Linked DNA regions of Caenorhabditis elegans. The protein of the gene in region 2 interacts with the protein of the main gene of each other region in a pairwise test. Each region holds a gene or a part of one and is shown on either strand. Other genes may lie near its edges.

The links.
Region 1: the proteins of dyci-1 (region 2) and valv-1 interact in a two-hybrid assay, tested with the Caenorhabditis elegans proteins (one large-scale study listed by BioGRID).

What each region holds. Positions count from the first base shown.
Region 1 is NC_003282.8:7,443,859-7,447,177, forward strand, and holds valv-1 (Cysteine-rich protein 1), read right to left. Parts: upstream 1,479-3,319; 5' UTR 1,450-1,478; coding exon 1,410-1,449; intron 1,359-1,409; coding exon 1,258-1,358; intron 1,018-1,257; coding exon 904-1,017; 3' UTR 781-903; downstream 1-780. Other genes in the region: unc-82 (Protein kinase domain-containing protein), read left to right, coding at 280-350, 399-502; B0496.1 (BTB domain-containing protein), read left to right, coding at 2,532-2,993, 3,039-3,183, 3,230-3,319.
Region 2 is NC_003282.8:6,779,082-6,786,144, forward strand, and holds dyci-1 (WD_REPEATS_REGION domain-containing protein), read right to left. Parts: upstream 5,260-7,063; 5' UTR 5,259-5,259; coding exon 5,088-5,258; intron 4,720-5,087; coding exon 4,525-4,719; intron 4,429-4,524; coding exon 4,302-4,428; intron 4,229-4,301; coding exon 4,032-4,228; intron 3,924-4,031; coding exon 3,702-3,923; intron 3,649-3,701; coding exon 3,433-3,648; intron 2,829-3,432; coding exon 2,652-2,828; intron 2,598-2,651; coding exon 2,462-2,597; intron 2,231-2,461; coding exon 2,007-2,230; intron 1,728-2,006; coding exon 1,619-1,727; intron 1,532-1,618; coding exon 1,429-1,531; intron 1,379-1,428; coding exon 1,324-1,378; 3' UTR 764-1,323; downstream 1-763. Other genes in the region: anat-1 (N-acetyltransferase domain-containing protein), read left to right, coding at 276-389.

The DNA.
Region 1 (3,319 bases), 660 kb from region 2:
AGCATATAATATAAAGCTGTATTTATATGTAGAAGTTATGAGAAATTTAGAAAACCTTTTAAAAACTTCAAAACTTCTGTCGAAGAATAGAAGAAACTGTGCCCAAGTCAAGTTTCTAAGCTATCGAACTGCACTAACACTTTTCCTAAAAATATTTTCAAAAGCTCCAAACCGCCCAATTGGAGGGGGGTGCTATAGAAGTTGGACGCACTGTACTACTTCATTAAACTGTGATCAAAAGTTACCTTAACAATCTACTTATGATTCCATTAATTTCAGAAACTACACATCTTCAAATCCGGTTTCCACAACTCGCGAGCCATATGTTGCCCAATATAGAAAATATCCAGGTGCTTTATTTCACAGAAACCCTATTATTTTAATTGATAGATTTTCAGGTTCAACCTCACGTGATACGTCCAGCGCTCTCAATCGTTACTCATACACTCCTGGTCTAACAGATCAACGCCGTCATTGGTATGATGATCCAAATATTTATTAACTTTTTTTTCAGTTTTGCCATCTTTCTTTTCCTTCTCTTTTTGTAAACTTTAAAAATAATTTGAAAACTCTTTTTTTTGTAACTTAAAAATTCTTGCTCACCACTTTCTACAGTTCATTTTTTTGTAAATATCGTATGGAGAAACTATCGGGTGTCCGATATTATTCTTTTTTTATTAAAAATGTCATCTTCTCTCTCACCCAAAAACCTAGTCAACAATGACTCTTTACATGTCGTCTTCATTCATTCTTTCATCATTGTTTCAAAATTTTGATTTTGCAGTAAAAATATTTTATTTTGAAAAGTTTGCTAGGCCAGATAATTGACATTATGAAGTCGTAGTAGGCGATGAATGTGAGCTTGAAGCATCTTTGGAAAACAGGCAAACGAAATTATGAATTTTAATTTCCAGTAGTTCCTTGAAGGAAAGTGTGTGATTCAGTTCCTCCGTGACCGTATCCTTTTGGTCCGAAAAGAGCGCCATAACAACGATTGCAATAAGGTTTACCCTCGTGCTGAAAATTATTTAATTTTTTAGAAACTTTTTTTTGAAGTTGATTGAAAACTGAAAATTGAAAGTCGGCAAGTACTTTTTCAAAACCCACAACTCAATAGTACAGCAAAAATTTTAAAAATCTAATTCAACTCTTTTTTTTTTGTTTATCAAAATAGATTGAATTGAAAAAAACGATAAAGAACTTTGGGTAGTACTCCTACCATAACCAAAAACTATAAGTTAACTTTTAAAAACATACCTCTGAATGACTTCCAGCACTTAATGTTTTCCCGCATGCTTTATTTGCACATTTCAAGCATGGTCTGTGCCAATCTTTTCCTAGAGAGGAAACTCGTTCAGCTGAAACAATTAAACAGTTATCATGACATATAACTTGAAAAAACAACTTACCGAAGTATACAGGTTTTTGGCAATTTGGACAGTTTGGCATGATTATTACGATGGTTTTGCAGAGGAACTAAAATAAAATCAAATTCGAAGAAAGTACCGAAGAAATGTCAATAGATAGAAGTATTTATATGATGGTTAAGACATGCACGCCTATCACTTATCACTGAACTTTTTTCGGAAATTTTGAATGAAACAGCTGAGTGGGAGGAGGAGAGAAAAGAAATGAGTCACAGAAACAAAACGAGCTAAACTTAGAGTTAGAGGTAAAGTGAGATAAAAAGAGAGAGAATAATGGAAACATTTTAATCTGAAAATTTATTTGCGGAACTTTGATTAACTCCTTTTGCGGACAGAATCGACTACACGAAAGTCGAGACTTCGAAAGTTAATAGTGGACAGGAACAGAGAAAAGTTGGAAAAAAGAACGAAACCAAATGGTTTATTTGTTTATTTTGTGGGTGTCTTAAGGAATAGACAGAAACGACGGTTCTCACAAAAAATATGTTGAAATGAGTCATGAAATGAATCAAAAAACACAAGACAATATACCGGAGACCGGTACGAATGAGGAAGAAAACAAATGCAAATGAGATGAATAGATTCGAAAATGAAAGTGGACAGAGGAGACCTTCTTAACCCAAATTTGAACGATTTTTCATTCTCTCACTTCAGCCCTTTTTATTTTAAAAAATTCTGTCAATCAAAGAAATTGACCTCATTCAAAATGGAAGTCGGGGCTTTAGGTCTTTGAGATTTGTATCAATTGTCTTTTTGATTGAATTTCCGATGGAAATTTGAAAAGCAGGCGGAAATTTGGAAATTAATAGAAAGGGAAACAAATGGAATGTTGATGGATTGCGGAGAAAGTGTGTTGAAAGAATTCGAAGATTTTTGAAAATTTGAACTGTAATTTTGTGAAAGAACGTGAACTGGAAAAAAAGTGAAATTCATATGAAATACGTGGAAGAAAAATTTAAATCGTGGTTTTAAGAAATTCACTCTAACAAAATGTATTTCACAATATTTCTGGCAACAAACAAAGTGATTTGGATCAAAAGTATCACATGTAAATTCAACTTTTAAAGGGTTATAGTTTTCCCTGGAAATTTTTCAGAAATCAAAATGAACGATATTACGATGAAAATTCCGACAGCGAGCAAGCTTTTGAAACTTCCAGAAGACTCAAAAGTCGGGGAAGAAGTTGAAATTCCCATTTGTAACATTCTTGGACTCCACTTGACTGGATTCTGGACGGTTCTGAACACAGCTAACGGAAAATTTGAAATAAGATGTGAGAAGGAAAGTCTGTTTCGTTGGAAATTCTTGGCTCAGATGGACCTTCAGTTTACTGGGGAAGGGAAGGTTATCAACATCAAAAACGAAATTGAGTTCTCTCCAAATGTTAATACGATCATGATTAAATCTATTGATCGAAGATACAATCAGGTGAAACTGAAAATTACTCGAAAGTCATCTTTTGGAATTGCAATCGAAGATTTCATTGATTTTGAAAAGAAGAGCAAGTGGTTGGATGTCCTGATTCGATCTGAAGATGGAAAGAAAATGATATATGCCAATTCTGGAGTAAGTTAAATTGAGTTGTGTTTCAGTTACATAAGTTACTTTTAGATACTTGCTTTGAATTCCCCGATTCTTAAGCAAAAACTGGAAAACAACAAGTTAGCTGAAATTATAATGCCATTTGAATCCTTTGTTTCAATGAAAAAACTAATGAACTTTCTTCATCCTCCTTTCAAAATGGAACGGGAAAATGGTAAGTTTACAATTAACCACAAAACTACAATCATTTGAATTTTCAGTTGAACAAGTTCTGGATCTAGCCTCAAAATGGGAAATGAAGTCGGTTATCACAAAGTATGAGCAATTTCTCATCAAAACACGTTGTCACT
Region 2 (7,063 bases):
CGCCAACTTCAAACATTTTTTCTCTTTTTTGGCTATGCTTTAAAATCATTCCGACGTAAAAATCATCAAAAACAAAGGAAAACATGCTTGAAATTGGCGAAATAATTGAAACTGTTTGAATTTACGGTTTTGCCCACAAATACCTGACGAGACCCATTATTCGGAGGCGAAGCGTTTTCAGTTGGCTATGGAGCGCGTTTCGATTTATAAGTGGGCATTTTTCTGCCTCCTTATAATAAATCATATAGTTTTCACATTATTATTATATTTTTCAGTTCGCTGCTGTTCGTTACGATGCTTTCAAAGGAGAACATCTTCGTCCACCAATCGTGATGCGTCCACCAGAAACATTCCATAGTGTATATGCGATGCTCTCGAAGTTTAATTGAGTTGCGGCTCCAACCTATGATCTATGAGTATCACAACGAATCCGTCGCCTTCAAGCTTCTCTCTTAATCAATTTTCTATCGAAATCTGGCACTGTTTTTTTTTGAATATACGCTGAATGTTTTCTTCTCTCCTTCTCTCCCAATCAAAATCCCACTGCATTTGCATTCTTTTGTCAATCAAAACAAAAAACAATCGATTCTTCTTTCTGCGATCATTTTCAATTAAAAACTATTCCCTCGTTGTCCCAATTTCACATTATTATATATTTTGTATGATTACCGCGAAACACTTTTGAGAAATGAATATTCAAAACTGTATTGAGCTCTCACTACTGCTTTTTGATGGAAACAAAATTACAAAAAAAAGGTGATTTTTTCATAAAACTGTTCATTCGCATTGATCGCTATCATCGAAACTTGATAAGAAAAGAAGAAATCAAATAAACCATTTTTAGAGAACAATTGGGAGCTGTGGTGGGGGACTGTATGAAGCATTTAAAAAGAAACAATTGATAAATATCAATTAATAAATTAGAGCAAAAAAGTCGAATCAGTGTGATCGGGGAGAGAAAAAGCTCAGGAAAATAACGGGAATAACTGAAAACGACGTGGAAGAAGAGCTGTCAGGAAAAAAAGTTTTTCAGAGAAAATGAAAAACGAGAAAAAATTGAGTAAATAGCAGATAATCACAAAAAAATTTAGCGGGGATATTTATAAGCAACAAATAATTAAATGAACCGAGAAGAAAGAGGAGCAACGTTTTTAGAGCACACAATTACACACACAAGAAGAGTTGGCACCAGTTGCCACGTTTCAATAAGAAAGCGTGGGAAAATATGCTTTGTAAGGGATTTAAAAAACAAGTACCTATGATTTAAATATGATAAATAGAAAATCTGATTAAAGTTAAGATTGGAAAGAACCGCGCATTCGTCTACATGTTATAATTCTCCGCTTCCTCATTCGATTGCTTCATATCAGATAAAACTCTGAAAATTGCACATTTTTCATGTAGAAAGAGGAACGGGTAGCTGCTTACCTAGCAAATCGATTCCATTCTTCGCTCTTCAACACGTACAAACTTTCCCGAACATCATACATATGTACTCGACCCTCATCATCACCAACGAACACGTGTTTTCCTGAAAAATACGGATTTTAAAATTTTTAGTCCAATACATTCAGTTTCATTGTAGGATTTTGCATTATTAAAAAAAATTGCTTCTTACCATCAGGTGACCAAATCAGTCGATTCATATAAACAGATTCTCCTTCGGCTCCGGCGCGAAGTCTTGCAACTGGTCCTTCAACATCCTCATTCAAATTCCACACGAAAATCTGAAAACGTTAAAATATAATATTGTTGAAATTAAACGATCGATCAAATGAATTTTGCAAAAAGAACAGAGGCGGAGCGTATTTTCGCAATCCTGCGGCACAGTTTTTTTCCTTTTTTTCGTCCGTATTCCACTGCTTTTTTGTTGATTTTTTCAATAAAGTCTCGATTTTACTCGTTTTCAGAATGTAAAGGTTATCCAATTCTGCTCGGCGCTGTTTTTTGCAAAATTTACTGATCGATTTCTATAAATTCAGTCAAAATAAAAATAAATCTCTCACATTTCCATCAGCATCAATAGATGCAAACACAGCTGGATGAACTGGTGACCATGCAACATCCAAAACGAGATCAGGATGTGATTCAAATGAGAATTTTAAATTTGCATCTTTTGTGCTCCATAGCTTCACTGTCCAATCGTGAGATGAAGAAATAAAAAGATGTGAGAAGTCGACAACACCAGAAGCTCTATGAAATTCAATTCCCGTCAGAGTACCACTGTGACCTGAAATTATTTATTTAAAATTTTTATCAAGATAAAATTCACATTTTTGACTGCTCAAAATTTTTTCGATTTTTGGAAAAAAAATACAGTACGCCCTTGTTGCTAACTCCTAGTTTTGGTGGAATTTTTTTTCTTCATTTTTTTTCCTCTTTTCTTGAAAATTTGATGTACTTTTAAATTTTTTGAAAATAATTCAAGAAAAATCGGTCGCTTCGAGACCTAAATCCCAACCTTTGTAACAAACGTCAGTTTTAATGACAGCTGGATCAGCTCCATTCCTTGATGCAGCAAGAATCTCTCCAGTATCTGTTCCAACGACAAATGTTTGCATTTCACCGATTGGGAATGACATTCTGGTGGCGGAAGCCTGGAAATTCGAATTTTTTGTTTCAAAATTATTTAATATCGATAAAAACCATACAGCTTTTCCTTCCTTTGTCATCAGTTCTTTTCCATCCACAGGTTGTGTCAAATTATCGACATTCCAACTGCAAATTCGTCCGTCTCGACTTAATGAAACAAAGTTATGAGCATTTTTGGTACCAACGACAGCAAGACATGATACAGTATACGTGTGAGCTTGAGTTGTTAGAGGACTCTGGAAAAATGAGTTAACATCGGATAGAAATTAAAATAATTTAATCAATTTTCGTAGAACTTTTTTGAAAAAAAAAACTTCAAAATTTTCAAGATACGTAACAGTAACATTACTGTTGTAATTGAAGGATTGATGTGCAAATTTTGAAAAAAAAACAGCGTCGCACAGAAATAGAGGCGGGGCGTAATTTCGCAACAATGCGGCACGGTTTTTCTCCTTATTCTTCGCTCGTTTTCTACTGCCTTTTTTATTTTTCAATTAAGTTTCGATTTTACTTGTTTTTTTGGCATGAAAATGTTGTCCAATTTAATTCTCATACGATTTTGACGATATTTCATGCTAAATAGGTTTTAAAACATGAAATATTTTTATAACTTACGAGAATTTATGTATATGATAATATTTTCATTTAAAAATTAAACTAAAAAGTAAAATCGAGACTTTATTGAAAAGAGCAGTTGAAACGGGGGAAAAAAGAGAAAAAATCGTGCAGCAGGTTTGCGAAATTACGCGCCGCCTCATTTTCTGTGCAACGCTTTTTTGCAACAGGAAACTTTGATTTTTTCTCAGGTTTTTTAAAGTTTAAAATACAAAAAAAACTCACTCTATTTATTGGCAACTTTCGACTTGTCAATCGATTATCCCATACACAAATCTGTCCAGATTCACATCCAGCGAGAAGCAAATGAGCATGGAAACGAGCAAAAGCGACGGATTGAATTTCAGATTGACAATAGACAATGAATTCAGCAGTCATTCGCTTCGACTTTGTATTCCAAACGACAATAACACCGGGTGGCTCATTTGGAATGTCACATGGCTGAAAAAGAAAGGAAATTAATAATCATGTATATAGTTTTAAATGTTAATTACCCCATAAGAAACAGCTAACAAATCAGGATAATGCTCAGAAAATGCCATTCCTGTAACTAATCGTTTAGCAGTCCATGTCTCATCTTGATATACTTGTGCCAAATGAAGTAGATCATCAGATGCAATAGCTTTCTCATATGGATCTTTAGTGTAGTTAATACAAATGTCAATTTCCTCGTTGAGAGCACGACTGATTACTTTGCAAGAGCGATTGAAAGAGTCCTGGAAACAAAACCATAAGCTTCAGTCATGAATTAAAAATTGAATTAACTTTTGGGCAGTTAAACATATTTTTTCACAAAAATGCCAACCTCATATTTTTTAACTCACCAAAAACTCAGGATCAAGAGTCAAACGATATTTCTCTTCATCACTAAGTGGTGGAACAATCTGAACAGTTTGTGTCTTTTTCTCTTCAGTCTCCTGTCGTGTCAGTCCCTTGTCTCCCTGCTTTGTCTGTCCCAGAAGTTTTGCAATTTCTTCGTTGTAAGGAAGTGGGGAATCTTGATCGTGTGAGTGAGCACGACCTGAAACCATGAATTTTAAAATTATGGTGTTCGAGTAAAACTGAAATTCAGGAAAAAAAAACCATGCACAAACCTCTGAACTGACCGTGATCCATTGGCATAATCATATCATCATCATAATCGAATTCTTGGCTTCCTAACGAAAATTCGCCGACTGAAATTCGCTCATCGTCAGTCTGGGTTCCTTTCGAGTAAATTGCCTGGAAAATTTTAATACTAAAATCATTAAAAAAAGCAGGAATTCGAGTTTTTAAAATTAATTCTCGATATTTTCCCTCGAAAAAAATAAAGCTTACCGAATCTTTGTTATCCGTGCACGCTGTCTGTACACTGGAAAATTCCAAGTCGACTGAAAGGAGATTTGAAATGCGTGGATGGCTGGCTGATGGATCCACATGATTATCAGAATGAGAACCAGGAGGTGGTGCCGGAGATTCTTCCCGAACTGTTGGCTCAGTTGAAATACCTACTTGACGGAGAATATCCTCGACCTAAAAAATAATTTAGTTAAAAAGTAGAAATATGATTGTGAAACTTGTAACAGTTTAATTTTCAATTTCTTGACGCGAAATTCTGAAATGTTTGAAAAAATACAGTGTCAGGCCTCTACACGACAAAATTTTGTTAATTTCAAAAAGGTATGCGCCTTTAAAAATTACTGTAGTTTAAAACTCTCTTTGCTGCCGATTTTCAGAAATTTTCATTGGTTTTCTCGCAATTTTTTAAATGGAAAACTTAATTATTTTAAACGAAAAACTATGAAAAATAATAAAAAATTGTCGTGTCGAGACCGGGTACAGTATTTCTAGGCAAAAACTCTAAAAATTTCGAGTCGGGATAATAGAACATAATAATATACCTCATTCGATGAAAGAGTCTGTCGAGACGTTCCATTCTGTGTTGTTCCATTTTCATTTGTGGAACGGAGCAGATTTTGAACTCGAGCATCTTCTTCACGTTTCCGCTGAGATTTCAGCTCTGCCAATTTCTGCTTTTTACGTTCAAGTTCGAGTTTCCTCAGTTCTGACATTCTGAAATAAAATTGTTTTTTCTAAACCTAAAAAATGTAGTTTTGAAAAAAAGGCAATTCAGAGAAGGAAATGTTGTTTCGAAATTCAAAAGCAGATGGTAGAATTAGAGATAGAGAGAAGTTCGAGATATCTACGAAGGACATCATCATCTGTTTTTTTTTGTTTTTTTTTAATGTTAGCGATGAATAATGGAGTGTGACTTCAATTAATTAAAGGCGTTGTATCGTATTTGGAGGATTTTCTTTGCTTAAAAGACCTCAATATACCAAAAAACTGGAAAAATTATAGAATTTTTCTAAATTTTTCAAGATTTTTTATTTAATTTTGCAACAAAAAAGTGGATTTATTTTTGAGTTCCCGAGCAAATGAATCAGCTAGTTTCGACATTTTTTCATTTTAGTTTTTCCTAGGAGGAAATTTCCTTCATGTTTGATATAAAACATCGTTTGCCAAGAAAGCCAAAATAATATAAACAGCCGGAAAACGAAAAAAAAAACAAAATGACCATTTGTGCGAGAATTCAAAAATAATTAAGCCATTATTATTTTTTTATTTCTGCAAACCTGAAAAAATCATTAAAAATTTAGAACAATTCTATAAACTTTTTTAGATTTATAATAGGTGTATTGAGACTGTTTTCTGTCATTTTGGGAAAAAAACCAAAGAAGCTACTCCAGTTTCAAGGGAATTCAGGGATTTAGGCGAAACTGGAACTCTGATAACAAAGAATTTGAAAGAAACAAATGTTGAAATTGTTTTTCCTTCCTTCCTGTTATGTGTGTATGTACTTACTGTTTTCTCTACTATTCTATTCCCTCCACTCATACACATACCTGAAGATATCAGAGACACAAAAAGATAGGAAATATGATAGATTGAATGAAACTTAGGAACACCTAGAGTAGTTAGAGAGAGCTGTAAAAAGAGTATTTACAATAATTTGAGGGATCAACTAGAGAGAGAGAGAGAGCACACTAGAGTGGAGAAGCGCAGATAATGAAACGACAGGGGACAAACTGTGCCGACACCACACAAGCCGATCCGTCGCAAAGGTCGCTAACATTAGAGAGTTAGAGAGGAAAAGAGAAAAGGAGCTGTCGATCTTTGCTGGTAGGACGGACAGCGGCGGGAAACTACGAGAACAGAGGGAGCGGTAGGGCGCAGATTTGATGGAAATTTCAAATTAAAAAAATTGTTATCGTCGAATTAGAATTTCCTCTTGAGTAATTGTATTGATCCTACGTTGCATTTTAGATTCAAACTGAGAATTAGGAATCGTAACCAGTTTTATTTTTTGAATGAGAATATTATTCAATTTTATTCTCGTGAAATTGTGAGAATATTTCATGCTAAATTGTTTGCAAAAACATGAAATATTGAAAAACGAAAAAACATTGAAAAACGCTTGAAAATAGCAATTACACCCGTCTGTCTTCCTGTGCAACCAAGATTTTTTTGAAAAATTTACGGATCGCTCGAATAAAAAATTTTATAATGTCAGATTACGTTTTAGATCCAAAAAAAATTAGGCTGAATCCGTTTTTGATTCTCTAGAATTTTGTTTAGCCAAAAAACATCGCATTGTTCTCTCTGTCGTTATTAAAGTGCGCAATTAACAAATATTCAAAAATTCTTATTTAAAAAACCATAGGGGGTTCCCTAACTATTGCGAAATTCTCTTTCTCTCTCGGACATTACTATGAGAGATTGAACCAATTGAAGAGACGCAGTGCTAGGAAGGGAATGCGCCCTGGCGCCACATATGGTCTAAGTCTCTCTGAATCGTGTGCTCTCTACATTGGGT